Linked DNA regions of Rattus norvegicus. The protein of the gene in region 3 interacts with the protein of the main gene of each other region in a pairwise test. Links are inferred from orthologs where the notes say so. Each region holds a gene or a part of one and is shown on either strand. Other genes may lie near its edges.

Region 1 (5,074 bases), on a different chromosome or scaffold from region 3:
AGGCATGAGTTCTTCTAGTAGCTCCTGTAGACTTCCACTTCAATTTCATTGGCCATGCCTGGTCACATGCTCAGCCAAACCTACAGAGTTGGCTAGGAGAATGAGAATCTAGATTTATAGTCACAAAGGCAGTGAGAGAGACGGAATTGGGACTAACAGATTCACAGAGTATCAAGGCCGCTACTATGGTTCCCCTGGAAGACCTGCCTTGAGGCCTCTTGTACTTTGGGGGTGTCTCTTTCATACCTTGCCATATCTCCTGGGACTGCCAAGTCCTTTGGGCGGTCCTACTCTATCCCAGAGGCCCCGCCTGTTCCTCTTTACATGTCAGAACAGCAATGGACCTGTAAGGGGAGAACCCCCAACCCTCTATTTAGGAAATACACATCTTCAGCATAATACCTCACCAGCAGATACTTAAGACAGCTTCACTGCATTTAAACCATCGTTTCTCAACCTGTGGGGCATGACCCTTTCATGGGAGGGGGGGGTCACACATTAGATATCCTGCATATCAGATATTTACATTATGATTTTAATAGTAGTAAGAATACAGTTATGAAAAAGCAATGAAAATAATTTACTGTTGGGAGGGGGTTCACCGCAACATGAGAAACTGCATTAAAGGGTCCACAGCATTAGAAAGGTTGAGAACCACTCATTTAGACCTTCAGAGTGAGAAAAACACAGAGAGTCTATTTACACATCTCCATTCACTGTCAGACCCTGTGTCCATCCCACCATCATTTCTTGGAGGCAGATCCACTGGCGCCCCAGCAGGGAAATCCGAGGGTCTGTGGCATGAGAACTTGTGCTTGTCTGGCCATGTTGTTCCCACCAGCAAAGGGCTTAAAAGCTGAGTCATGGATTTCATTCTTCAGGGGAAAGGATTCAGGCCTGGCTTACTCTGTAGATCTTTTAAAAAATGGCATAGGAACAAAAGATTCAAGTATTTGGGTGTTGTGGAGGAAGGGGACTTTGAGGAAGAAGAATGGGTGGGGAAGACCCAGACTAGGGGGAGGGGCAGGGTCTGAGGTGACAGTGCTGGCAATATTGACCTAAGAGTCTACTCCATCACCATGGCAGTGGGGTCTTCGAACTAATATATATATATATATATCTTTGCAGAGGAAATCATTGTATAGTTGCTTTCCAAAACACTGTAGAAAGCTAAGGTTATTTTTGGCTAGAATTGTATGATAGTGTGGTTACACTAGTAAGAAATAAAAATTGGCAGTTACAATCCCCTGACCAGGCTAGGGTTTCTCTCTCTCTCTCTCTCTCTCTCTCTCTCTCTCTCTCTCTCTCTCTCTCTCTGTGTGTGTGTGTGTGTGTGTGTGTGTGTGTGTGTGTGTGTGTGTGTTGGGAATACTATGGATAGTGAGTAAAGAGTTTGGGTGGCTTTAGAGGAGGCTCTGGGAAACTCCTGGTCAGGGAGCCAAGAAAGTTGGATATTTCTAATAAACCACTCTTGGCTGCTTCAGCCTAGCTATGTGTTCAAACCCATGTCCTGGACCATGGAGTATGTTATACATGTAGCTTCCAGGGACTGATCACAGGACTCTCTGATTTGTATTTACAGTAACTTGGCAACATGCTGTTCTAGGCTAGAAACCGGAGCTCTGAGGTGAAGTATGGTTTAGGGAGGGCAGTGGGGAGGAGAAATAAAAGCCAAACTATGAGGCAATCGGGCAAGGCCTAAAAGGGCGTGGCTTGGGCCCCTTCCCACCCTTCCTTGCTACAAACATCTGGTGCTTTCTTTGCTCATTCTGTGATTTCTCAAACAGGTGGCCTTAGGTTAAGCCGGAGTTGAGCTGTTTCCAATGCTAGGAGCTGAGTTGTTCCAAGAAGTAGGCCTTATTGGGCAACTGAAGCAAAATCGAGGGACACCTGGCTCTCTTCCTCTTCTGCGGGGAAGTCTCAGTGAGTCAGATCAGGAATGGCACCTCTGGAGGTCTTTCCTGGTAGTGGCTTCCTCTTGGTGCAGGAATGCTAGGTGCTCAGAAAAGTCCAGAGACTTTTCCTGTGGGGTGCGGGGGGTTTTCAGTTTCCCAGGGATAGCTTTCAGGTGTGCCTTGCTAGCATCATTGTGGGCTAGGGTCCTCAGGTTCAGGAGGGCTGGGCCAGAGCAAGTGGCAGGAGCTGCTGAGTGGAGGAAACTCTACAGTGCTCTCTCTTCGCTGGTCAGGGTGGTGATTCTGCGCAGGTTTTCCCGGACTTTGATGAACTCAGGGGCATGGTCCTCTTCTCTCTGTGGTGGGTTTTCCAGCTGGAGCAGAGAAACACAAGGAGTGAATTTGCAAAGTTGGTTGGGGATGGGGTTCCTAAACCCCATGCTATAGTTGGACCCAGGGTCCTGTCAATGGAGAAAGCCTGGGGTGGGTTTTACAAACCATTCCAAAGTTGGGATGTGTATCAGGAGAGTAGACACTTGAAAGAGAGTCAAAAAGATAAACCTAAAGAAACAAACAAACAAACAGATCTACCCTCACGTCAGGAAACATTATCAAAACAGTACGCATGAGGAAATCCCACCATCTCTGAATGTGGGGGTAGGGTGATGTGCAAAAGAACTCTCAAGGGCCAGCCTGGGGTTTTGAGGCTGAGCCTGTTCCTGCTCTGTAACCGGTATCATTCTGGAGAGTGCTCTCCTCTCCCTTAGTGGACCTCATCTCTGCCACTCTCCAAGTCCCCAGCCAGCCCTCCCAGGACACAAGAACCCAGGACTCTCAGTTTACCCACATGGGGACAGTAAGAGCCTCCCACCTATAGAATAGAAATGCCACCTGCTCTCAGAGCAGGGGTGATCAGCAGAACTAACGTCCAGGATGTAGATCTTATAGGAGGCAGAGGGTCTGAGAAGTGTTGCCACTGGAATAGAGTCACACAGTGGGCAGAGGTAGATTCTTGATCCCATGCTGGCCTTTCTCTTGGAGGAGGCTCAGACTGGAGCTGTGTGCCTCCTACCCACCTGGTTCAGTCTCTGCTGCCTTCTCAGCAGCTCCTGCTCGAAGGGGCACTGCATCCGCTTGGCCTCCAGCTCCTCCTCCTTCTTTTTGATCAGCTGATTCCTGCGACGGTGCTCCAGGACCCGCTGCAATTCTGGTTTGCGGTCCATACCCAGGCCCCTGGGGGTGGGGGTGGGGGTGGGGGTGGGGGGAACAGTCAGAATTTTTTCCTAGCCTGGCCCTGACTTTTCCTGTGATACCAATCCCAGGCCGGAAGGGGACGCTCTCACTGCCCCATGCTATAGAGAAAGGCACAGCAGGGCAAGCGCAGGTACAACCAACAGGTGAGTGAGAATTTCATAACAGGCTGCAGAAACTAGGTGGTTGCTGGATATTTTATTAGAGCTTCTGATGACGGAAATGCTAGTCTTCGTTCTCTTAAAATTTCATGGGAATTAATTTCCTTACAAAGATATCAATTTATTCCCATTTTACATGCCAACTTTTTTAAGTCCAGGAGACAAAAAGCAATGCCTGTTTCTCAGTTTTCCTTGATTATCAGTCACACGTAACAGCCTTTAAAGTGTTTCTAATGTTCACATTTTCCTATTTGCATATTAATCCCACTCGTTTTGTTTATCCTTTCCTTGTAGACTATAGTACAGGAATACATGAATATTTCATACTGTATCTCTTCGATATAATTTATTTATATTGCAAATATTTCAGTTTGCTTGAAGCTGTTTTTCATCGTGGTGGTATTTTTGATACTAAAATGAATGACTATTGCCGAAACAACTGAGAACGTGAAAATGTTACAGTATTAATTGGAAACAAACCCACCAAGAGCCTCATGTGCAACGGGTATCTGTGGCATGACTTAGAACGGAAATCACACCAGCTCCAATATAACAACCAGACGGCAGAGGGCGCCACGACGGTCCACCAGCTTCAGGCAAGCCAGGAGATCAGGATCCTCACAACGGAGGATCTTACGCTGGCTATCCCGTGATTACTGATCACAGACGAGCCATAACCCAGTTTCCCCCTTGGCCCTTCTGTTTTACAGCCATGGTCTTCCCCAATAGATGGCTAAGAAAGGGCCATCACCAGTTTTCTCTGCCAATATAACCCATCTACCCCCGGGGTTGACTCTTGCCCCTGCTTTGGTCTTTCTAGATATCATCTCTTCCATGAAGTCATATAGATAGTCCCCCTATCCTAGAAGCCCCTCTGGGGTCCCACATTCATTTAAAGCATCCAGCAACTTTCATTCCCCCTGGGGAGTGCAGAAACTGGGTCTCCGTTTTATTTGTATCTAAGGGCTGGGCGTGATACCCTGCACACAATAAGTATTTAGTAAATTTATGCGGCATCTAAGCACACAGAAAGTAGACAGAGCTTCCAGGTTCACACAGTTTCTTCTGGGGACCCTGTTGGGGCTCCAGGCAATGGGTTTGGGCCACCCCTCCCCCCCAAGAAGAATCTTCCTAAGACCAGAAGGCCTGTGCAGGCAGGGTATTGCTGGGCCAGCCATCTGGGTGCCATCCTACCTTTTGTGGTTCATAAGCAGCTCACGGTGCAGCTCCTGATGGCTTCGAGAGGCCTTCACAGGGTTTAGCAGCTTCTTGGGTTTGATGAGCTCTGAATTCCACTCTCTGTACTCTGGCCTGGCCATGAGTCCCTCGATGTCAGCCCGCTCCCTCTGGATCTCTGAGTACATGGAGGCTGTAGCGATGGGAGGTAATGTTACTTCAAATATGTCCACATCCCCTTTGGGACACAGAGTTCTCACAGAGACAGTGGCTTCTGAGCAACTTGGGTAAGCTACCTGACCATTGCTGTCTTGCTTTCTGCCTTCTGTTGTGGGACACAGACATCCCACCAAGGTAAAAAGCTTGTTGTGATTATTGGAGATGATGTTCATCTGGGACGTGGGGTACTGAGGTGCAAGGAGACCTAGGCTCACCATAGAGGCTGTCATGGGACTGGGGAAATGGTTCATTCAGGGCAGAGCTTGCAACCTGAGTTGGAGTCCCAGCAACCTGGGGAAATGCCTGGCACGATGTGGGAATTCTAGCACCGTGAGGTAGACGCACGGGGAGCTCACAACCAAAGTGCAGATA
Region 2 (6,292 bases), on a different chromosome or scaffold from region 3:
TGACTAATTCTGAAGTTACAGACTCCAGGGAATCCAGTCCTATTGCTCTGGGCTGCCATTTGTGAGACTTAATCATGGCCGCATCCTGGCAAACTCAGGCAACCAGTTTGCCTGGGAAACTTGGGCAAACCAAAACTTTACACGGCGGCGTTCATGCTCTCAAAGTCCTTCCCCCATTTATTCCTTCTGCCTGACCTCTGAGAACAGCAACTGGCGTGTGCACACACAGAAAGCCGTGCCTCCAGCACCTTCCACCACAGGGTAGGGCGGGTGTGCACGACACGGGACAGACATCTGCTGCACAGGAAGAACAGCGTGCAAGGCTGTGGTATTGGGAAGCGAGCTCTGCACAGGTAAGAGAAACCTCGGTGTCAGAGGCGACCCCCAGACCCAATGATCCTCAACCACTTGTCCCCACAGGGAGATGGGGAGAAGAGTGTGTCCGTGACAGTCAACCATCTGAGGTAGGCCGGCCGGGACTGGCTTGGATGAGGCTATGTGCTAGTGAGGCATTCTGAGAGGCAGGTTTGGAGGCCAACCAAGAGCCCCAGGCATAAGTGGATGCCCCACTTGTTGGTAAACGACCTCTGGGTATGCTCCTTCCCTTAAGCCATCAGCCATGGAGAAAGGTAAAACCCTCATCTGGCTAAGAGTCTTGATGGTCTTGGGGTGGAGCACTTATTGCTCAGCTTACAGGAGGGCCAGATTCAACTCCAGGCTAGCGGACAAACAAGAGTCCCCAGGGCAAAAATGGTCCCCAGTGCACAGCAGGTACCGGACCTCCAGAAAAAAGCCCATGTCCTCTTCGTGAGGCTGGGCCTGAGGAACAAGCTAAGATACACCGGGCATCTGAGTGAGTTCCTGGGAAGATTCAGAGTTGACCCACATGGCTGCCTTCCTGCCCCCAGCCACCCAGCTCCTTCTTGTGCCCTGCCTGCCCTCTAGTTCACTGTAGGTCTCTCTAGCAAGAAAGCCATGCAGGGTTGAGCTTGGTGCAGGGCACTGAGGGGCTGTAAGCATAAATTATAGCCACACCAGGATGCCTTCTGTCAGCCATCAGAGTGATCAAAAAGGTTCAGTAGGAGGCCTTGCGGAGTGTGTGGGGACAAGTCCTCCCTGGTTGGTGGAGAAAGCCCGGTGACCTCTGTGAAGGCCATGTGTGGGTACGTACGTGGGTGTGCACGTGCACACAGGTGTGTGACCTAGTCACAGTTCTAGAACATCAGGCAGACACGCTCAGGAGTGAGGCCACCCTCCCCCACAGCCCCGACCACAGCAGCAGAATGGAGGTCACCACACACTTGTGGGCAACAAATAGGTGATATACACAACGACACTACACCACACAACACAGCCCATCCCATGGGACTGTGTGAACATGAAATAATCAGGCTGGGTTATTGCCTGGGAAATTGCCACCACTTAGAAGCAGGAGAGAGTGGGTGGTGGTCTCTCCTCCAGAGAAAGAGAAACCCGGAGGACTGAGGACAGGAAGTCACTAAAAGATCATAATCCTCCTGTCTCAGCCCCTAGGTGGCTGGGTACCACCAGACTCAGCTCAAAATTAAATCATCGGGGGTTGGGGATTTAGCTCAGTGGTAGAGCGCTTGCCTAGGAAGCGCAAGGCCCTGGGTTCGGTCCCCAGCTCCGAAAAAAAGAACAAAAAAAAAAAAAATTAAATCATCATCAGAAAGTCTTTCCATAAGCTTGGTTTCCAGTTTGGGTCAAGTCCTCTTGTGTTCTCTCTCCTCTCCTCTCCTCTCCTCTCCTCTCCTCTCCTCTCCTCTCCTCTCCTCTCCTCTCCTCTTCCCTCCCTCCCTCCTTCCCTTCCTCTCCCTTCCTCTCCCTCTCCCTCCCCACCCCCTCATTGGCCTTCTGTGGTGACTTTAGGACACTTAGATCCTGTCCGTTTCCCAGATTTGTTACCTCAAAGTGCTTGCTGGTGTGTATATGAGGTGTCGCCTGGGTGCAAGACACCAGAAACACCACAGAAATTCCATTTCCTTCACCACCCAGATGAGCTGCCAAACAGCCATGCCAGAACCAGGCTTCCCTTGTCCCCGTTCCCGTCCTAGCTGAAGATTCCCCCTCTAACTTCCATGCCACAGCATCTGTGGGGACAAGTCCTACCGCCTCAGAGTACAAAAACCCAGCCACAAAGAAAGGAGACCTTGGCTGCTCCAGCTCAGAACTTTGGAATGTATCTGAGGGGATGGCCACCATCATCTTCAGTTCCTTGCCTTTCTCGAGGCTGTGAAGTGAGAGGATCTCCAGAAACAACAAACTTTGGTTCCTGACCTAGCACCTAGCGATTCTTAGATAGCCAAGAGTTCTCCAGCTGTTTGCTTTTGGTTTGATCCTCCTCTTCCTCCTCCTCCTCCTCTTCCTCCTGTTCCTCCTCCTCCTCTTCTTCCTCCTCCTCCTGCTCCTTCTCCTCCTCTTCTGTTCTTTTTCTGCCCTTAGCATTTGATTATAAATGGCTATTTTCATTGGCTGTCTGATATCCTCCAGGGCTACAGATCAGTGAATGGTAGGACCATCAACACCAGCTCTCCCTCCCCCCACCTCTCTCTCTCTCTCTGAACACAGCACCATACATAGAGCGTTCCTGTAGTCCTGTCCAGGGAGGCACAGCCCCAAGGTTCCCAGGGTTCCCCGACTCCCAATATCCGTGCTCGATTTTGCATGGGGTCATGGTTTGAAGGGACACTGACTCACCACACACCTCTGAGACAGTCATCTGGTAGCCTCAGCCCAGCCGCAGCCCGTCACCCACTCCTTCCTCGCAGCTGCAGGAAGCTGAGCATCCCACTGCCACGCAGACGCAGAACTTACCTGCCTGAGTGCTCCTGGAGCACCTGATAGACTGTGATCTGGAAGGTCTCGTTGTCAAACCGCTCCCGGATGTAGTCCTTATAGATCCTGAACTCGGCTGCGGTCACCGCCTCTCCCTCGGGGATCTTGGAAAGATCAAACCGGAACTCTCGATGGTGGTATCGAGGGTGGAAGAATTCCTTGTCGTGCTCCACTGGAGGGGAAGGAAACACACCAGCACCAAAACGGTTTAGCGTCTTGTTCCTTTCTGTCCATGCGACTGGCTTGAGCTGGGTGGACGCTGCCTTTGTGACCACCTCCCATCCCATGTAGGCACACCGTTGATTTTACAGTCGCAGGCTCAGACCCCAAAGCCACCTTGAACATAAAAGGGTGTGGCTCTGGATCCAGCCTGCTGGGGGAGACGAAACACAGCACACGAGACTGGAGTCCTAGCAGCTCAGGACTGGGTTCAAACCCAGCCTGGGCCACTAGAGTAGCTGTGACAGTAGAAAGATTCAAGACATCCCATTTGAAACTCAGCTCCACCACATGGAAAATGGGACTGTGACGGGCAAGAGACCAAATTCACATAAGCGACTACGATTAGGTAACTGTTGCTGGTGAACACAGACCTTGCTAGACCTGTCCTGGGACAGTGTGGAACAGTGGTAGTCTTCAGCCCTGGCTGCACAGAAGAATGACTGAAGATGCTTTTAAAAAGTAAAGGTGTTGGGGGCTGGAGAGATGGCTCAGCAGTTAAGAGCACTGATTGATCTTCCCAGAGGTCCTGAATCCAATTCCCAGCAACCACATGGTGGCTCGCAACCATCTGTAGTGGGATCTGATGCCCTCTTCTGGCATGTGTCTAAAGACAGCTACAGTGTGCTTGTGTAAGTAAAAATAAATCTTTAAAAAAAAATAATTAAAGGTGTATGTCATGGTGGGCTGGTGATACTCCCGGGTCTCATAATACCATCGAGAGAGAGTTCAGTGCTGACCCAGAGGCATTGACACGGGCTGGGAAGGAGTTCCCACAGCAGGCACCTCATACCTCACAGGGAACCAAAGGGGATCAAGAGCTGGTCAGAGAGAACTCTCCAGAAACCCCTCTTGTGTCTCCTGGTGTCCGCCCTCCTCCTGCCCACTCTTTGCCCAACAAGGAGCACATCCCTTCTACACCAGCACATGGGAAAGCCCAGCACACAAGAGAGAGAGGGGTCAGAGATGCCACCAGACCCTCTGGTTTACTGACAGGACAGGGAAGGAGAAATTCTGCAGCAGCTGCTGAGCGAGGCAGTCTCCTGCATGTTGAGAGCCTAGGGAGGTGACCCCAGGATAAGGAGGCAAGCTTAGGATAGTCCTTGTCATCTGCTGCTTCCTCCCACCCTGCCTAGCTTCATTTCCGTTGCTGAGAAAACACCCTAACACCCAGGAGAGGGGAGGGGCCATTTGGCTTACAGTTCCCGGTTCCAGTCTCTCATAGCAGGAAAGTCAGAGGCCAGAGCTTGGTCACAGGCAAGCAGAGAAAATGAATGTACCCACGTTGCCTGCTAGCTTCGTAGCTTTCTTCACTCTTGTGTGGGCAGGGCCTCCCTGCCTAAGGAATGCCACCGCCCATAGAGGGCTCGTTCTACAACGATTAGCGATCAAGACAGTACTCCACAGACAAGCTCACAGGCCCACCCGATCTAGACCAGTCTTGTACTCCCCAGCTGACTCTAGGCAGTGTCAGTTGGCAGTTAAAACTAACCAGTCCGCATGCCCAAGTCACCTTAGGAGGGGGGCCTGACACAGCAATGGGCAAGCATACACCTGAGACCCTAAGGTCTCTAACAGACTGCCTGGAGTGATGAAGCTGGATTCAATCCAGGACCTGCCAAACCGGAGACCTTCACCACCACGTACGTCTTCAACAGTACATGGGACAGAGATCTCTGCTTGTTTAACAGACTCCACCTATGTGTACATGTGTGTGTTGTGTTCATGAACCATGCATGTAACTCAGCAGACTGTCATGCAAATACTCCTGATGGAAGCCCCTCTGATCATTAGCAGAGCACACCAGCCTGCCCAGCCCAGACTCTCCAGCTGGGAGCTGGTTGTTGCTGTTTCCATCACTCTGACAGGAGTGACCATACAGTGTGTAGGTTCCTCAGTGTCTGACCTCCTTAACATGTTTACAATGCTGCCCTCTTACATGAATATTCATGGCTGCATAAAAGGCACAGTTCGATGACATGTCAACTCCCCATGATCCTCCAGGAAACCAGGATTCTTTTTTTTTTCTTTTTCTTTTTTTGGTCTTTCCAGACAGGGTTTTTCTGTGTAGCCCTGGCTGGCCTTGAACTCAGAGACCCACCTGCTTCTGCCTCTGCTCTGACACCGAACATACATTTTGGTGGTAGCAGTGTGTGCAGACCTGTGCTGCATAGTTTTATGTCAACTTGACCGAAGCTGAAGTCATTTGAGAGGAGGGGGGTCTCCAGAAAATGCTTCCAGAAACAAACGAATGAATGAATAGGAGATGCTCCGATAAGATCGCGCCGTAGGCAAGTCTACAGGCCAATAAACTAGTGACTAATGTGGGAGGGCCCAGCCCGTTGTGGGCGGGGTCAGCCCATTGTGGGCGGGGTCAGCCCATTGTGGGCGGGGTCAGCCCATTGTGGGTGGGGCCATCCCTGGGCTGGTGGTCCTGGGTTCTATAAGGAGGCAGGTTGAGCAAGCCATGGGGAGAAAGCCAGTAAGCAGCATCCTCCATGGCCTCTACATCAGCTCCTGCCTCCAGGTTCCCGCCCTGTTTGAGTTCCTGCCCTGACTTCCTTTGATGATGAACAGCGATGTGGAAGTGTAAACCGAATAAGCCCTGTCCTTCCCCAGTTATTTTGGTCATGGTGTTTTATCACAGCAATAGAAACCCTAAGATAATAATTCTCTTTCTCCCAAAGTGCCAGGGAGGTTTATGAAGGCAGCGCAGGGAACATGAGCTACAGGAGGTCAGAACTACGCAGGGAACAGGGAAACATGAAGCCACACAGAACCCAAGGATCAGGACAGAGACACACATCCCGAGAGCACCTCTGTGCCCTCACCACCCCAGGAAGGGACTTCCAGTGCACACTCCCATGTCTTTACCCAAGCAAGGTCGCAAAAGACCATACTGTAACCAGCCAGGACACAGATGGCCAGCCACAGTCTGCTGGCCTCCAGGAGGTAGCATCGAATGCGTGACTCCTGCCTTTGGACGCCATCTTCCCTTCCTCCCTCATAGGAACTGTGAGAGGCCCTGCAGACTCCCAGCCATCTCTTCTTGGCCCTAACTGCTGAGCTGTCCTACACTCTTCGGTCCACCTTACAAGCATTCCCCTAAACTCAAGCTTGGCTTCCTCTCTCGCTCTGCAGCCTCCCAGGGAGACAGGATGACAGCCCGCAGGCAGGCTTCCTGGATGCAAATGACCCCACCTACAGAAGACTGCCT
Region 3 (5,437 bases):
TGGGAGCCACATAGCTAGCTCATCCCAGCAACCCAGCACTTACCCCGGACCACAGGGGCTGCACAGACCTGATCTTGCCATATTCTCCTGGCTAGGGTGACCCTTGAAGCAGCCATCCAACTTCCTGTCTGCTTAGGGCTACCCACAAGCCCCTGGGCTGGGCTGGCTATGTTACACCATGTTCTGGCTTTGCAAAAGGCCTACATGACTACCTGTCCTGGAATCTATTATTTCCTACTTCCTGGGACCAAAGATGAAGGCCAGGTAGGGTGCCTTGCTACCCTATCTGTCCTCGACAAGGATTCCTAAGCCCTACTCATGGGCAAGTTGCAGTGTTCTTTAAAGATTAGCTACAGGAACAGTCAATGTACCGCCCTCTTTCACGGGACAATCCAGGCATGTGGTTCATCCCAGTCATTGCAGCGGGCAGCTGGGAAGCTAACGCAGGAAGACTGACATGTATTCCAGGGCACCCTGAGTCACACAGCAAGTTCCTGCCAGCATGAGCTACAGAGTAAAGCCTCTAAAAAATATCCTAAAGTCAGAAGGAACGCACTCATCAGCTGGATCCCACAGTGATGGAGGGATGGCCTAAACTGGAGAAACGTTCACTGTGAAAGGCTTTCCCAATAGGGCACCAAGGCTTCCTCTCTCTGCTTTACAGAATTGACTTTCGCCTCTGTATCTTCAAAAACAAAGAAGTTCCCCTAGACCTGTAGACTTCTAGGCGTCTTAGCTTTGTTGTTCTGTCAGGAAAGGAACGAAATATACCTGCTATCCTTGGCTCTCTAGCCCTGATCATTCAGAAGCACCTGAGCAGGGCCAAGTACATGTGCAAGGAACAGGGATTCCCTGAAGTTGACCACAGACCCACTGATCAAACTGGGATCCACAGCCTGATTCTGACCATGAAAGTGACCTGTAATACTCACTGTAAAAGAAACATATGTTCTCTGCCTCTGCCTCTCTGTCTCTGTCTCTCTCTGTCTCTGTCTCTCTGTTTCTGTCTCTCTCTGTCTCCATCTCTCTGTCTCTGTCTCTCTATCTCTCTCTGTCTCTCTCTGTCTCTGTATCTCTCTGTCTCTGTCTCTCTGTTTCTGTCTCTCTCTGTCTCTGTCTCTCTCTCTGTCTCTCTCTATCTGTCTGTCTGTCTGTCTGTCTCTCTCTCTCTCTCTCTCTCACACACACAGAGAGAGAGAGAGAGAGAGAGAGAGAGAGAGAGAGAGAGTCTAAACTATGTACCACAGTGCTTTTTACTACCAACAGAGCACACTCTGGCATTTTCTGTTCTGTCTTTCTGAAAAGAGCAGTGCTGGTCCCTCATCCATCTCCCCTGATTTTCCCGCCCACAAAAGCTTTGCACAGAGCGGTTAGCAAAGTCCTGTTCCTGGAAACCCTCCAAAGTGCAGAAGCCAAGGCCACTGATCCAGTGGGAGTTTCTTCACTGGTGTCTCTTTCCTAGGTGGAAAAGAACATCATCCTGGAAGAAAAGATCCAGGTACTCCAGCAGCAGAACGAAGACCTCAAAGCGAGGATCGACCAGAACACGGTTGTTACCAGGTGGGTGAGCCCAGTTTCTCACTACGTCCTTCTCAAAGTGGCTTTCCCGGAACATCCGCATGTCCCAGTATCCAGTCTGAACAATCTCCTGGTGCCTCTCAGTTGATCAGAAGAAAAGCAGATGGCCGTGACCCCATGGTACACATCCCAGCTCTGCATCCCAGCCGGCCCCGTTCCCCAGAAGTGAGTGAGGACCTCAAGCCCAGGAAGCAGGGGCCCCAGAGCAGGAAGATTTCATCCCAGAGATTAGGAGAAGAGCATCAGCTAAAGTCCCCAGCTAAAGAGAACCATGGCTAGGTAACCCCAATATTCCAGAAAATCGGGTCAGCTCTTCCCTATAGGCTCCTGCTTTCAAGGAAGGATTGGGTCACTCTTGACCCCAGCTCAGAGTGCAGTGAAAACGTCTGTGGCGTCTGTGGCTGGCTGCAGGTTATTATACTGGGCAAGGCTAAGTCGCCCGAGTGAGATGGAGGCCTTCGCCTTTTCCCATTCTGTTGGACCAGACTCCTCGGTGTGGCTATGATATGTTATCCTGTGTACACCCATGCTTATGTGCACACACTCATGTATATATCCATTCACGCGTGCTCACACTTACACATACACTGATGCACGTGCATGCTTATACACTGGCATGCCACTTGTTCACACGCCCACACATACCCAGCCACCTTTCCTCAGACAGCAAGTGCAGGCGTCAGCCCAGAGTACCTTTCTGGGACTTTAGCCCATCCAGTTGTAAAATGTATTTGTACTTACTCTGGCCGATTCCTGAAAGCAGCGATCACTCTCTAAAACACAAGTTGAAATAGACAGGTGACTCCGTGGTTAAGAGCACTGGCTGCTCTTCCAGAAGACCCAAGTTTGATTCCCCGCACCTACCTGACAGCACACAGCTATCTGTTAGAGTTAACAGTTCCAGGAGACCCGCGCCCTCTTCTGGCCTCCACAGGCATTGCATGCAATGGTTCTCGGGCATGCACGCAGCCAAAACACACACATAAAGTACAAAAATTACCAAAAACACGCAGCAAAGCCAGCAATTTAAGCACCATGACATCACACACACACACACACACACACACACACACACACACACACACACACACGATTGCTTTCTCTCCCCCACCCCCGACCCCCGTTATCAACCGACGGTGATCAAACATCTATTTTTCTGGATGCCATGCTGAACGCCAGCCAAGAACATAACAGAGTCTTGACCCCTGCCCTCTAGGACTTGTGGTCCAGCAGACAGACATGTAGACAGACCGACTCTACAGCCGAGCTAATGACTTCAATCGCAGAGGCACGTACTCAGGGCTGGAGGTAACGGGAAAATATTCCCGGCTGATTGGCGCTGTTAGTCAGTACCCTGACCACAGCCGTAGACAATCTCCATAGCAACCCCTCCTATGGGCTGTAGCAGCAGCCCACGTGACCTACCATCTCCCCCACTTCCTACTCCAGCCTCTAGCCTTTCTTTGCTCTGTGCACAACTGCCCCCTAACCCAGCAGAGAGACCTGCGAGCCTGGGGAATTGCCCCCGGCCTCCGCCTATCAGCCTCTGTCACTAGTACGCCCAATGGTTCCCGCTGCTAACTACCATTCTCCCCCACGCAGACAACTGTCGGAGGAAAATGCTAATCTCCAGGAATACGTGGAGAAAGAGACCCAGGAAAAGAAGAGACTGAGCCGAACCAACGAGGAACTACTTTGGAAGCTCCAGACTGGGGACCCGACCAGCCCGATTAAACTCTCCCCCACATCTCCGGTGTACAGGGGCTCCTCCTCTGGACCCTCCTCTCCAGCCAGAGTCAGTACCACACCTAGATGACATCACCCTGCCACCCACAGGAGCTCAAGCTTCTGTCCGTCCGAGGGAGTGCTGGCCGGTGCTGGTGGCTGCCCTGTGCGCATGCTCAGTAGCTGCATACTGCATCTTAGGCAGAGTCCTCTCTGACCCTCGTGTGAGACCGTCCTGGTATTGGCGCTTAGGAAGGCGTAAGCAGCAGAGTCTGGTGTCCAAAAGCAAAACACAAAAACAAAAACAAAATGCTTTAGTATAGTTAGAAGCAAAAGAGAAACAGCTCCAATTGTTCCTGAGAGACGGAGTTCCGCAGCGGAACTTTAGGTCAGCCACAAACAGCTCCGTTTTTCGAATACTCGAAAACCCTCCTTGCACCGCTGCGGGTGTGTATTCAGATGCGTGGGTACACACCTGCGGCGACTCCGAATTGCTTTTTTTTATATATATATACATATATAACACACGATGCGCTGACATATTTTAGCGACGGTCAGCAGTTTTCTAACTTGTGCCTAAGAATTATTGGGAAATGAAAAACGCATTTCTATCTAGTTTCCTGGAGATATTTCTACCCAAAATAGAAAAAAGAAAAAAAAAAAAGAAAAAAGAAAAAGCAAGCAAGCAAGCATGAGACCAAGTGGTACCCTGCTTACCCTAAACACCAGCGATTTGTAGATGGTAACCGCCTTTGGAGCAACTAGCTTCTTAGTCCAACGCGAGGTGGGGTCACTCTCAGCCCATTGCAGGATTTAATTATGACTTCTCCCATCCCAAGGAGGTAAAATGTCGCAGGGTGTGGGGGAGGGGGGGACCGGAGGGATCACATGGTCTGGCCAATGTTTTTCCCCTTATCAATTCATTATAATCTTGAAAACACCAGTTTTGCTCCCCACCCCCAACCCCAAATGGCACCTTGCAAATCCACCATTAAGATATTATTGCATCCTCAGGAAAACACGGACGCATGCGACCTTTGCGATGAGGGTAAGCATGAACTCGGAGACTATCTAGACCATGCATGACCCATCCTCATGGAGGAGGAGTTCTGGTAGGGGCCGACATGGCCCCAACCATCGCCTCTCATAGGCAACACCCCCATTTTTCAGTTTGGTTCTATGACTCGACCCCATCACTGCACATCAAGATGGCTCAGGGGTTCTAGTCAAGGCTTCCGGAAACCAGCCTTTCTCTCTTGGGGAAAGGGGGGGGGGAAGCCAGTTCTAAAGGTGCTAGATCATGTCCCTTCTGCTGGAGGGTTACCAGGACTGCACCTGGCTGTGGTCCCGTCTTAGCCCCAGAAGGCTCTCCCAAACAAGGGAACGCAGTGAAACGGCCAGTCAGCATCCATCAGCCGCTGGACTGGCCTTCGTCTCTAATGAGGTAGAGTTAGAACATGAAAGGTATTCATGTAGTGCTATGGAAGATTAGAAGCATGACCCACAAAAGAGAAGTAGTTTTAACTGGCAGTACCGTGCCGCGCTGAATGATACCTTTGTTTCCTGTATGTGACAAGAGACCCTCCGTTTTCTAAGCATGGGCCTGTCTGTCTGTGAGCAGGCCCAAGATGAGAAGAGCCACGGAGCCAAGAAGACGGTGTCAGCCACTCCAAGGACACACATATCTGACACCGAGACAAGTGTGGTCAACATCCCTCCTGTGGCTCCAAGTTGGGCTTCCTTGGTCTCGGGTGCATCTAACTGTAGTCAACCTCCGCGGGTCTTGCCCATTCTGGAGGCACACACGGTAGATACACAGAGAAGAAACAGGTCTTTTTTTTTTCCTTTGGCTCTGCATGATCCTGGGATACCGAGCTGGGCATCCCATAAGAGTAGCTCATGCCATGTCAGTTCAACACACACAACTATTTGTTCTTTTAGCAGGCACAACCTGCGGACGTTAAGTTCGGTTGGCCGTTTAGCTCTCCGAGTTAGGACCCGCCTCCTCAGCTGTGCCCGCCGACGGCAGGTTCTCAGCAATACAGAGTTCGATGTGATTATAGGATGTGGTACAGTACGTTAGGCTGTTGTGCTCAAAGTGGTAGCGATGTTAGATCTGTGTACCCTCATTAGG
Region 4 (6,292 bases), on a different chromosome or scaffold from region 3:
GGCTATATAAGACGTTCCACATTTTCTGACAATTAACCTTCATATTCTACCAGGATTGGTGAGTTGCCCTACTTGCAGAGGGGTTAAAAATCCCTCATTTTGCAACTGCCTTCAAATTACCATCTTCATTTCAACATTAATCTAATCACATCTACTTCCAGAGCTCCCCAAAGCTCTCAATTCTTGAAGTGTTTGTGGATGCATTCTTTCTTATTTTTGTATTTTATATATTTATTTAATTTTTAAACAAGATATCACTATGTTGTCCAGACTGGACTCTTGTCCCAACTTAGCCTTCCTAGTTGGTAGAGTTACAGGTTTTCACCACTGTGCTGACTTCTGAATTATTTATTTATTTATTTATTTATTTATTTATTTATTTATTTATTTATTTTGTGCGTGTGTGTGTGTGTGTGTGTGTGTGTGTGTGTGTGTGTGTGCATTTATAGACGCTACAGGTCAGTGTCATGTGTCTGCCTATGTCGCTCTCCACCTTCTACTTTTTTGAGATAGGCTCTCACTGAGTTCAGAAATCATCAACTGGCTAGCCTGGCCAGCCAGCAATCTCTAGGAATCCACCTAGCTTTTTAACATGGGTTACCAGCAACTTAAAATCACTTTTACCCACAGAGCCACCTCCCTAGCCCACTCCTGACTTATGAAGACTTTAAAAGAAGATTGCACGTGTTCTTGGATTCCCATCCTGTGGATTTCCTATTGAGCCTTCTTTGGTGTGTTTAGTTCCTACTCAACCATCGATTTTGTACCTTCCAGAATGTTGTTGCTGTTGCTTTCTTTCTTGGTTCTTTCTAACCTTGTTGGTTTTAGAATTTACTGGAGATAATAACATTAGATGACTGTTCAGTCTCCCATCTTTATCTGAAAGTAATTCAAGCCATAATGAAAGGGTTGCTTTCCTCATGTGATTATTTTTGTCACCTCTCAATTTGTATTAGGTGCTATATCTGAAGAACCTTAGTCCTCGGGTGAAAGAAAGAGACCTTATCTCATTATTCGCTCGATTCCAGGAGAAAAAAGGACCACTCATTCAGTTCCAAATGATGACTGGACGCATGAGGGGACAGGCTTTCATCACCTTTCCCAGTGAGTATCTTCATCAAGGTAGCCACTCTATTGTAGCATCAGTACATGAGAAACCACTTCTTACCTCACTGAATTACATTAGAACCTTAGCACATGGAAGGGGGCCAGGAAGGAAAATATATTTCCAGTATTCCTTGATCTTCCTTCCTATACTTGCTTCCTGTTTCCTGTGGATGCTACACAAGCACCTTACCCTAGTGTCCTCAGTTTTGCCATTTTGACATTTCCTTCCTACCCTACCAGTATTCATTTATTTCTGTCGCAGTGCTGCTTCTACTCTGTATTACAGTAGAATTATTCACAGTTAGTGTGTTGGCATTGTGATAAGAAGACATATCTTTTTCTCATATTTCTTTTATTTAGGACTAAGTGATTTTAAGCTAATTAACTCATTGCCAATTCATAATTGTTGGAAGATAATACATTCTTCCAAATATCACTTGCATGTCATTACATGCTCTAATCAAAGTGCAAGAAAAATACAGTAATTTTGATCTTAGTAAGCTAGCCAGTATGTCTTCAGCATGAAGAAGCTACTAGGATCTATACCTCCCATTGCCTCTAAACTGTCATTGTAATACTCTGTAACTTTTATGTGGGCAAGTGACTTTACAGGAGAATTGCTGATCTTATCCCCCTTGCTTTCATATAACCTTATACTGTCTTTTCTATCTCACTGAAGGTTTGTAGATTCTTTGTACCCATGGTTTTCAGTCTTTTGAAGGGAGAATTCCATTAAATTTGAAAACAAATTTCATGTATTCTTACAAAATATATCTAACCTTCTAATTGAAAGATACACAATACAAAGACTTTAACATTTGTATATGTACGTGTTTGTAAAGTGTATGTGTGTATATGCTCATGTGTGTGTTTGTGTGTGTATGCACATGTATGTGGTGGTTAGAAGCTAACCACAGTGTCTTCTTCAGCTGCTCTTCCACCCTAATTTTGTCACTGATCTTAGAGCTCATGGATGTGGCCCAGCTGGCTGGTCAGTGAGCAACAGGAACTCGCTACCTCCCTAGCTCTAGGGTTGCCCATGCCTGCCTCCACGCCTGGAATTTCATATGGGTACCAGGGATCTGCGCTCAAGTTCTCATGCCTTCATAGCAAGCCTTTTACTTCTAGAACCATCTCTCCTGTCCCTGCTTTATACTAATAAATTTGTAGCTATTTTACTAATCCTAATAGCTATAGTACACACTTGAAAATTTGGTATATATCTGAGACGAAATGATCTCAGTCTAATGGCACTTTCTACTTATAATTCCACAGACTCTACTCCAAAATCTAGCCCCTTCTCATTTCTTACATATGATCCCTGATACCCATATGCTGAATATTCCTGTTCTGTACTATATATTCTCAGACACACATTTTTATATACCTGCAAGAAAAGTTCACTATCCCCCACCACTTTCTTTCTAAAAGAAAACAGTAGCTAAGTGTGTTCAATAGTGTGGTACCTTCTTTTATTTGTGTAACAATTTAAAAAATTTTGCTTCCTGTATCTATAATCTATCTAAGGTAAAGTCATGTTTATAGTTAGGTTTAACTTAGACGTTTTAAATATACTCCTTATGTATCCTTATATCTTTGAATCAAATGTACGTTTTGAGGGTCTTTTGTCACTATTATTACACAGTAATTTAATCTTGCTAACGTATATAAATTGGGGATTGTGGACAAGGCAAAACATCAGACATCAGTATGATTTTTATAGCAAACAAATCACAATTAAACCTGTAATATAACTGAGTGATTGAGCTCTATATAATTTGATGCATTTTTCTTATTCTTTTCCAGATAAAGACATAGCATGGCAAGCACTGCACCAAATTAATGGATATAAACTCTATGGGAAAATATTGGTGATAGAGTTTGCGAAGAGCAGAAAGCAGCAGTCAGCTGCTCAGTGCGCTCCGCTTATAGCATCTGCTACAGATGGCAGAGCAGAAATCAATGGTAGCTAGAAACCCATATCAACCCACATGTACATGCACATTGGAATATATGTATGTAGTATGTATGTATGTATGTAAATATACACTCAGATGATTTTGCTTTTATCATAATCTTAGATCAAGAATGTGTGTATTCTTAAAAATTTGTTGAAAATAGAAGAGGAAATATTAGAAAGACAGAAATTAGGACAATGGCCTCAGCATTTGGAAAGAATTGATAAAAATACATTCTATAATTAAATACTGTATAGCATCAAAAAGATTATATAAAATTGACAATATCCTGAGTGAAAAAAAATAATAATGAAACATTCTATATGTCAGATAATACTCTGAGTATTAAGATCATGTGAAAACCTTTAATTCTCAGGAAATATTACATAGGACTGTTCCTCAAGATTCCAAAAATTCTTTAATAGTTTGTAGTCTTCAGTGTTTAGTCCTAGACATAAGACTTTTTCTAGGACTGTTTCCTGTATACAAAGTTTTAAAAGAAACCCAGTGTTAAAATAACTATTTACTAGAACTCAGACTGTATTTTGTCCGAACTTTCAGCAGTTTCAGTAGATAGATTCATAAGTTTTATTTATTTATTTATTTAATGATTGCTTCCACACTGTTTTCAGAGTCCTCAAAACCATATGTATTACTATAACATCTTTTAAATATTGGTAATCTCATGATACGATTGAGTTCCAAACAGTACACATTTAACATGGAGTACCTGCCTAATATATGTTAAATATTAGGTACATGAACTTTCAAGAGGAATGAAGTAGCATATATACTAAAGGGACAAGGAAAGAAAGTGTTTTAGAAGAAAGTCAGCCTGCCTCAAATCCCCTGGTGATTTGTTTAGAGTCATTGAAGAATAGGAACCTAATATGGTTTAGATGGTAGAACCAGCTTTGGAGTTAGACCTGTGACCCTCAAAGTCACCCATGTTTACCACCCTGAGCTTAGAAAGTCACTTAATCTGAGCCTAATTTATCTCATCCATAAATAGTAACATTGCTTCTCACCTCCCTGGTTAAATGAGATTATACTATCCAAGGTAAGGAAAAAGGGGAAAAATGAAGGAACTCTAAGGAACTTCCACTAAGTACATCAAACAACATATAATAAGAATCCCATTCAAAAAGGGAGAAGGAAGCATAAAAATACTGCAAAAGGATGAGTAAAATGGCTCAGTGAGTAAAGGCATTTGCCACCAAACAGGAAGACCTGAGTTCAAACCGTAGGACCTGCCAATAACAGGGCAAAAAGGATAGGAGCTAATGCTGAAGTTTCTCTAAAAATAGTGCGAATCCATAGGAACAAAGAAAACAAAAGGGAAATAGTGCGAATCCATAGGAAGAAAGAAAACAAAAGGGAAATAGTGTGAATCCACAGGAAAAAAGAAGACAAAAGGGAAATAGTGCGAATCCACAGGAAAAAAGAAGACAAAAGGGAAATAGTGTGAATCCACCGGAAAAAAGAAGACAAAAGGGAAATAGTGCGAATCCACAGGAAAAAAGAAGACAAAAGGGAAATAGTGTGAATCCACAGGAACAAGGAAGACAAAAGGGAAATAAGGTGGCTAAATTTTACAAGGCTGTAAACCTAAGTTAGGTTCCTAAAAGTCACAGAATTGTATTGGTAATTATACTGCACTGTTAGCCCTGGAATGTAGAAAGTCTGCATGGCCGTCATACCCTAAAGCATGAGGAAGAGGGAAAAGGAAACACAAACAGTAGACATAAAGATCCATTCTTTGTTTAAAAGGTCAATGTTTTAGGATGTGAGAATTTTAATCACGTAACTACAGAGCCACCACATAACCTGATGCAAGGTAGCGAAGTCAAGAGTGAAAGGAGAAACTGGTGGATGCCTAGTGTTTCCTTCCTAAACAAGGAAGTAGCCAGCTTCAACACTGGGGATAGCCAGCTTCAACACTGGGTGCTAGATAGATTCGAAAGACAGCTATAGAACATTCTACCCTACACTAGAATATATATTTTCACCCTATGTATACGAAACATCCTTAGGCTAGATCATGAGCTGAACCGTAAAACAAGCCTTAATAAATACAAATAGACTAAAATAATCTCAAACTTGTGCTCTTCCACATGGGAGGAGGTTACAAATCAGTGACAATAAATTGGGAAACTCCCAAATAAGTGAAAATTAGTGATATCTAAACACCAAGTCGGTGAGGAAAAAAACAGAGAAGCTGGAGAAATGGCTCAGTGCATAGGTGTGCTTACCTCTCTCGCTGAGCACCTGCGTTTGAGCCCCAGCATCCACACTGGGTGGTTCCCAGCTACCTTTAGTCTATGTGGGGCATGCTTAGAGATAAGCCTATGAAACGAGAAGAAAGATCATGGAACTGATTCAGTTCCTATCCTAAGCCATAGCTAGGATAGAACCTAGAACAAACACAACTGGGAAACCACGCAAAATGCATGAGAAGAATACAACAGAGAAAATGCAGTGAATCCAAGCAAGGAACTGGTAGACCTTTTACTACATATAGCAGGACAAGGTAGACTATAATTATTAGAATGGGAAATAAAGGAGGGAACATTGCTACTGACCTTGGAAAAATAAAAGGTGAATAAGGGAATATTATTATACTCATGTGTCAATAAATTAACTTACTGAAAATAAACAAATTCCTGAAAAGATAAAGTACCAAGAGCCAAGTATAAGAAGCCAAAATAAACCTAATAACAAAGATTAATAATTAACAAGACAGATAAGCCACAACAATACCCATACTTAGGTTGCTTTTGATTTGATTTCTAGAATTCTACTAAATGTTTAATCAAACAGTAATCCAATCTCTTCACAAGCTGTTTATTTAAAAAACAGGAGACATTTCTGAGATATAGTACTGCAACGTGGGAGAAATCTGAGAGCACGTTCGGGCAGAGAAAGCAGTCACTGATAGTGACACATTGTACAAGTCCAGACATATGTTGAGTACAGAGTTGGATTTAAAAGTACATATATACGTAGTGATAAATGGTAGGCAGGGAAAACTAGACTGTATAGGAATTCTTTGCAAGTGGATGAAAATGTTCATAAATTGCATCAGTGGTTATAGAATGATGAATATAGTAAGTGGGTGAATGTCATGGTATGTGAATTAAATCTCAGAGAAATTCAAAACCATAGGAATGTGGACATTAGGCAGATGTCCACATGTTAACATGAGTGACTTCTAACTTACGGCACAT
Region 5 (6,292 bases), on a different chromosome or scaffold from region 3:
TTATGTGTATAGTTGTTTTAGCTACATGTATGTCTGTGCACCACGTGAATGTCTGGTGTATGCATCATGATCGTGCTTCATACACAGGGAGGTCAGAAGAAGGCATTTGTTCCCTTGAACTGGAGTTGCAGATGGCTGTGACCTCATGTGGGTACTGGAATTGAACCTGGGTCTCTAGAAGAGCAACAAGTGCTCTAAAGCCCCGAGCCATCTTGCCAGCCCGTTTTTATATTCCCACTATGTATAAGGGCCCAGCTTCTCCATACCCTTATCGACAGCGGCTATCTTTTGTTGGTTGTTTTGTTTAGGAAAATCCTTGCTATTTAACTAGAACTACCATGTCTGGTACTTGCTATGTATGTACTAACTGGCACTGAACTTTCTGTAATCCTCCTGCCTCAGCCTCCCAGGTCTCAGGATTACAGGTTTGTATCACCATGCCTGATCTGTTGACCATTTTCTTTTTTAAATGTATTTTGTGTGAGTATGGGCATCGTTATGTATAATGGCAGGAGTTGGTTTTCTTCCACCACTTTGAGGAAAGGTGTCTCATTTCTGCCAGAATTCTGTGTACTATAGGCTCCCTGGCCTGTGAGTCAAACCTGTCTTTGCCACACTTCTCACATAGGAGCGCTGGGATTATAGATGTGCAAATCCACACCTGGCTTTTTCTTGGGCCCTAAGGCTTGAACTCAGGCGGGTGTGGCCAGGCTTTTAACTGCCTCCCACCTCCCAGTCGCCATTTTCAATTTGTATTTTCTTACTGGTGTTGAGGTCAGCTGTTACCTGTTTTTAGTGTTTTGTTTGCAGATGTTCTTTGTTTCCTTTGCTATGTAGAGACTTAATTTCCTACATATATACCAAAAATACTAAAAAAAAAAATCATGGGGTTGGGGATTTAGCTCAGTGGTAGAGCGCTTGCTAGGCCCTGGGTTCGGTCCCCAGCTCCGAAAAAAAGAAAAAAGAAATCACTGTCCAGTCCAACATCGTGGAGTTCCCCTTTCATTTCGATCACTTTTCTGTTGTTCTTTTGAGATAAGGTTTCTCTGTGCAGTCCTGGCTGTCTAGGAATTCACTCTGTACACCAGGCTGGTCTTGAATTCAGAGAGATCTGCCTGCCTTTGCCTTGTGAGGGCTGGAACTAAGCATGTGTCACCACGTGAGCTCTGTGAGAACTTTTAGTTTCAGGTTTTCAGTTTAAATGCTTTGCCCACTTGAGTTGGTGTTGGCATGTTGTATGGAACAATAGTCTACTGTAATTCTTTTAACAGAGATAGCCAGTTTTCCCACACACTTATGAGGAAACCTTCCTTTCCCTCTGGAAAATCAATGTGCTGTTTGAGCTTTGCATTCTGGCCTGTTAGTCCATCGTCTGCATTTTTACCTCAGTGTCATGTTCTGATTACTGATTGATGGTTTAGGAAATCAGGGCATGTGATATTTCCAGTTCTTCTTTCTGTTAAGAAGATTTAAAGTCCAGTGTGGTGGTGCAGTTTGTAATCCCAGCACCTTGCAGGTCAGGGTAGGAGTCAAGTTTCAGGTCATTCTCAGCTACATGGAGCGTTTGAGGCCAGCCAGGGATACAAAAGAGGTGAAATGAACAAAGTATGTAGCTAGAGATGGGGGTCCCTAAAAAGGAGGTGGGGTAGCCAGGGAATGTCTCTCTGTGAGAAATGACATTTCAACAGGTGACCGATGAACCATGGCATCTGGGGGAGAGTATCCCAGGTTTGTCTAGTTGCTGTTCAGTTACCCACCCTTGCCCACCTCTTCTTTCATAGATGAAGTTCTCTAACCTTTTAATTCTTTCCCACACATTTATCTGTCTGACTGTCTGTCTGAATGTGTCTCATCCTCATCCTGTTAGGCACTAAAGTAGAGTGGTTAGAGGTCTGGCTTTCCTCACAGCCAGCTGCTGGGAAGGGAATGTGAGCAGTGCAAAGGGTCCCAGGCTGTGCACTGAGCTCCTCGGGGCTCCGCAGTCCTAGGCTGCGCTCTAGACATTCAGGAGGCCTGGGCCCAACGTTAAGACCTGGCCATCAGCTGGGAGGCGGTGGCGCATGCCTTTGCTCTCAGCACTCAAGAGGCAGAATAAGGTGAATCTGAGTTTGAGGCCAACCTGGTCTACAGAAGAGTTCCAGTCCAGCTAGGGCTACACAGAGAAGCTCTGTCTCAAAACAAAACAAACAAACAACAACAACAACTAAACCAACCAAACAACAAACAAAAAACCAAACCAAACAAACAAACAAGGAACCTGAGTAGTAAGTAGGGACAGGCCTAAGGCTGGTTGCTGCATAAAACCTGCTTCCATGACAAATGCCATTTATTTCCCAGGACTTGGGCTCTTAGAGACACGTACTTCTTCCCACAGTCCCTCACCTCTGGACCACATGCTCCTCCATGCTACCTTGGCCTTCCTCGAGCTCCTGATCCCCATGGACATCCCCCCTTTCTCACCAGAAACCTGCTGCAGGCCTGGGAACAGCAGCAGCTGAAGGAGAAGCAGCAGGCGGAGATGCGCAGGGCTCGGGAGCAGCAAGTGCAGCAGCAGGTGGCCCGGTGTCTGGCGGCCTACACGCCAGGAGGGAACAGAGGGACCCTGGGTCCTCAGCGCAAACTAGAGGAGCTGAGGTAGGAAGCCAGGCTTTGGAGGGCCTGGCTGGGGGCAGGGCAGGGACACTGTGCTGGGAGTCAAGCTGCAGGACCTCACAGCAGGCAAGCCAGACCACCTAGCTGCATCTTACAAATGAAGACGTGGAGGCCCCTGGAGAAGGGGCTGGGCCAAGATCATTCAGTTATTAATAGTAACCCCTTCAGATAGTGCATCCTGTGTATTCTGCACACAGTCACGATTTTAAATCTTATTTTTTGGTTTCATGGTGTTATGTGCTTATTATAAAGACTGAGACATCTGGACATGGTGGTAAACACCTTTAATCCCAGCACTCTGGAGGCAAAGGCAGGTAGGTAGATTGTTGTGAGTTTGAAGCCATTGAAGGAGACCCTGTTCAAAAACAAATTGTTGAGGTGTTGGAGAGATGGCTCGGTGGCTAAGAACACCTGTTGTTCTTTTTTTTTTTTTTTTGCAGAGCTGGGAACCGAACCCAGGGCCTTGCGCTTCCTAGGCAAGCGCTCTACCACTGAGCTAAATCCCCAACCCCACACCTGTTGTTCTTACAAAGGACCTGGATTCAGTTCCACATGGTGACTCATAACCATTTATAACTCCAGTTCCAAGGAATCCAACACCCTCTTCTAGCCTCTGTGAACACTAGGCACAGATGTGGTACACGTGCACTTACACACATGCAGACTAAACACTCATACATAGAAAGTAAAAATACAGATGTAAAATGTCGAGGATTTCAGAAACAGTTGATGCGCTCTGTAAATAGTCCCAGGGGCTCCACTCCTGGAGACAAGTAGGAAGCATGGTCGGCTGGAATTACGTGTTTCACTGGCTTTCCAGATGTATAATCCCTCTCCCCTTTTTTTGAGCTGGGGTCTCTTTATGTACCCCTTGCTGGCCTGTAACACCAGGTTTTCCCAGAGATCCCTCCAAGGCAGCGCTATGCCCAGCTCTTTCTCTTGAGATATGGACTCCTCTTGATAGTCCAGGCTGTCTTGGAACTCACTGTACAGATCAAGCTGGCTGCAAATGCATGGTCATCTATCTATCCCCAAGTGCTGATTCCAGGTCCGGGCCACCACTCTCAAGACTATTTTTCTTGGAAGCAAATTCATGAGTCAAACAACACTTCCTAATGGGCCATGAGTGAGGTAGTACCAATATCCGCCTAGAACCACAGAGGAAGAACTAAGGCCCAGAAAGCAGAGAGCTTAAACGATCTGCCAACATCTGAAGGAAGCCCTGGAAGCTGTTGGATTACCTGCCACATTGCCTAGATGTTTTAGTGCTTCTTCTTCAGTGAAAGGACACATGACAGTCCTTGCAATGGCTCAACCTTATGACATAGATAGCATGTTTAAGTACAGTCACTTAAGCTATTGACTTGAGGGCAGGCAGGGGTGGCAAACACATCTCAGCACTTGGGAGGCAGAGGAAGGTGGATCTTTGTGAGTTCGATGCCAGCCTGGTTTGTAGAGTGAGTTTTGGGGGCCAGGGCTATGCAGAGAAACCTTACTACAGAAAAAACCAAATCAGACAAAGAGACTTAAGCCTTGACTCGAACACCTATGGGTTCCTATCTATCCATTCCCACCTTCCTCTGGCTCATGATGTGTGGGAAGAGGTTTCATGGGCTGCAGTATGGCATCATGGTCTTGGCAGGACTCAGATCATCCATACAGAATCAATTGTATCTCAACTTTATTTTAAAATTATTAGTTATATTTTGAGGCAGAATCTCCCAATGTAGTTCTTGGTGCCCTAGACTCACTATGTAGACTAAGCTGACCTCAAACTCATAGAGATCCTTCTGTCTCTGCCTCCCGAGTACTAGGATTTAAGAGATGTGCCACCGCCCCTGGCTAGCTCAACTTCATAGGTAATTTTACAGAACAGTGTCTTCTGGGGACACAGTTCTGCTTGCAGGGCACTGTTTTTTTTTTTTTTTTTTTTTTTTTTCCCCCGGAGCTGGGGACCGAACCCAGGGCCTTGCGCTTCCTAGGCAAGCGCTCTACCACTGAGCTAAATCCCCAACCCCCCAAGCTTTTTTTATTTTATTTTTTATTTTTTTATTTATTTATTTTTTTTTCAGGGCACTGTTCTTTAACCTTTTTTTTTTTTTTAAGTGTGTGTATGTAGGTCAGATGAGGACTTGCAAGTCAGTTCTCTCCTCTCACCAAGTGGGTCCTGGGGATGGAACTCAGCTCCTCAGGCAGAACAGCTGGCACCTTAACTCACTTGAGTCATCGGGAAGCACCCTCACCCCACCCACATTTTTTCCTTTAAGTCTCATTCTATAGCTCAGGCTGCTCAGATCTGTGGCCATCTGCCTGCCCCAGCCTCCCAAGCACGGGGATTGCAAACAGTTGCCACCATTAGTCCCTGCTATTATTAGGTCTTTACAAGAGGAAAGTGTAAGGCCCGTTCTCCAGCTGTGGGGTGCATGAGAGGAATGCTAGAATCTGACTTCAGGTGAAGAAGACACAGGCAGACCTTTCCTGGCAGTCTTCCAGTCTGGCTAGGACAGATGCCAGAAACTCTCTTCTCCATGAGAAGGTTTGTTCAACTTTACCAACCAAGACTCGGGTGTTGCCTGGGAGGAGAGGCACAGTAGAGGGGACACTGGGAACACTGTGGCAGGGAAAAATGTCATCCCATCCTACTTTAGAATGACAGGGCTGGTACCATTGGCACCAGGTTTGTTTTTTGTTTTTTTTTTTGGCATGAAGTTCAAGACACAGGCGTCCTAACAGAGATAACAAGATATCCAGTAAGATGTTGGGCACAATGGTGCATATGTAATCCTTGCTACTTGCAGGGCTGAGCAGGAAGACAGCTTGAGGCCTGGAATTTGAGTCTAGCCTGGGCTATACAGCCTGTCTCAAAAACAAGCTTGGCATGCAGGCATGTGCCTATTTTCCTGGTATTTAGGAGGCTGAGGCAGGAGGATTGTGCATTTGGGGCCAGCCTGGACTACAGCACACAATCCAGTCTCCAAAACCTAAATAAATAGGGGCCTGAGAGATGGCCTAGACAGCGATGTGCTTGGTGCATGAGGACCAGAGCTGACTCCTTAGCACCCATTTGTTTTTTAAATTAAAAACATCAACAAAGCGAACCCAGGTGCAACTGTGTTCAACCATAATTCCGGTGCCTGAGAGGCTTGCTGGCCAGCCAGTCTAGTCAAACTGGTGAGCTCCAGGTTCAGTGAAAGACCTCGTCTAAATGAGTAAAATGCCTAGCACAGTGGCACACTCACCTTTAGTCCTACCTCTTGGGAGAGAATTCCAGGCTAGCCTGGTCTACATCGTGAGACCTTATCTCAAAACAAAACAAAACAAAAACTATACAGTAAGAAAAATACTATCTTGCATGGGCTGGAGAGATGGCTCAGCGGTTAAGAGCACTAAATGCTCTTCCAGAGGTCCTGAGTTCAAATCCCAGCAACCACATGGTGGCTCACAACCATCTGTAATGGGATCTGATCCCCTCGTCTGGTGTGTCTGAAGACAGTGACAGTGTACTCACATACATAAAATAAATAAATCTTGGGGGTTGGGGATTTAGCTCAGTGGTAGAGCACTTGCTTAGCAAGCTCAAGGCCCTGGGTTCGGTCCCCAGCTCCGGAAAAAAAAAAAAATCTTAGCTGGGTGTGGTGGC

The links.
Region 1: the proteins of Mtus2 (region 3) and Fam107a interact in binary tests that used the Homo sapiens proteins (3 or more experiments, as listed by UniProt). The link is inferred for Rattus norvegicus from reciprocal best matches to the Homo sapiens genes MTUS2 and FAM107A.
Region 2: the proteins of Mtus2 (region 3) and Bmp7 interact in a two-hybrid assay, tested with the Homo sapiens proteins (3 studies listed by BioGRID and IntAct). The two-hybrid records come from large-scale screens. The link is inferred for Rattus norvegicus from reciprocal best matches to the Homo sapiens genes MTUS2 and BMP7.
Region 4: the proteins of Mtus2 (region 3) and Rbm41 interact in binary tests that used the Homo sapiens proteins (3 or more experiments, as listed by UniProt). The link is inferred for Rattus norvegicus from reciprocal best matches to the Homo sapiens genes MTUS2 and RBM41.
Region 5: the proteins of Mtus2 (region 3) and Tsga10ip interact in binary tests that used the Homo sapiens proteins (3 or more experiments, as listed by UniProt). The two-hybrid records come from large-scale screens. The link is inferred for Rattus norvegicus from reciprocal best matches to the Homo sapiens genes MTUS2 and TSGA10IP.

The regions. Positions count from the first base shown.
Region 1 is NC_086033.1:19,055,372-19,060,445, reverse strand, and holds part of Fam107a (actin-associated protein FAM107A), read right to left. Parts: intron 4,677-5,074; coding exon of another isoform or gene 4,672-4,676; coding exon 4,502-4,671; intron 3,129-4,501; coding exon 2,972-3,128; intron 2,270-2,971; coding exon 2,162-2,269; 3' UTR 1-2,161. UniProt on the Homo sapiens protein: Stress-inducible actin-binding protein that plays a role in synaptic and cognitive functions by modulating actin filamentous (F-actin) dynamics. Mediates polymerization of globular actin to F-actin. Also binds to, stabilizes and bundles F-actin.
Region 2 is NC_086021.1:182,106,064-182,112,355, forward strand, and holds part of Bmp7 (bone morphogenetic protein 7 precursor), read right to left. Parts: intron 3,029-6,292; coding exon 2,836-3,028; intron 1-2,835. UniProt on the Homo sapiens protein: Growth factor of the TGF-beta superfamily that plays important role in various biological processes, including embryogenesis, hematopoiesis, neurogenesis and skeletal morphogenesis.
Region 3 is NC_086030.1:11,743,228-11,748,664, reverse strand, and holds part of Mtus2 (microtubule-associated tumor suppressor candidate 2), read left to right. Parts: intron 1-1,462; coding exon 1,463-1,560; intron 1,561-3,180; coding exon 3,181-3,394; 3' UTR 3,395-5,437. UniProt on the Homo sapiens protein: Binds microtubules. Together with MAPRE1 may target the microtubule depolymerase KIF2C to the plus-end of microtubules. May regulate the dynamics of microtubules at their growing distal tip.
Region 4 is NC_086039.1:108,395,387-108,401,678, reverse strand, and holds the end of Rbm41 (RNA-binding protein 41), read left to right. Parts: intron 1-956; coding exon 957-1,104; intron 1,105-2,913; coding exon 2,914-3,080; 3' UTR 3,081-4,510; downstream 4,511-6,292. UniProt on the Homo sapiens protein: May bind RNA.
Region 5 is NC_086019.1:212,132,400-212,138,691, reverse strand, and holds part of Tsga10ip (testis-specific protein 10-interacting protein), read left to right. Parts: exon of another isoform or gene 1-2,337; coding exon of another isoform or gene 2,338-2,463; coding exon 2,464-2,634; exon of another isoform or gene 2,635-6,292.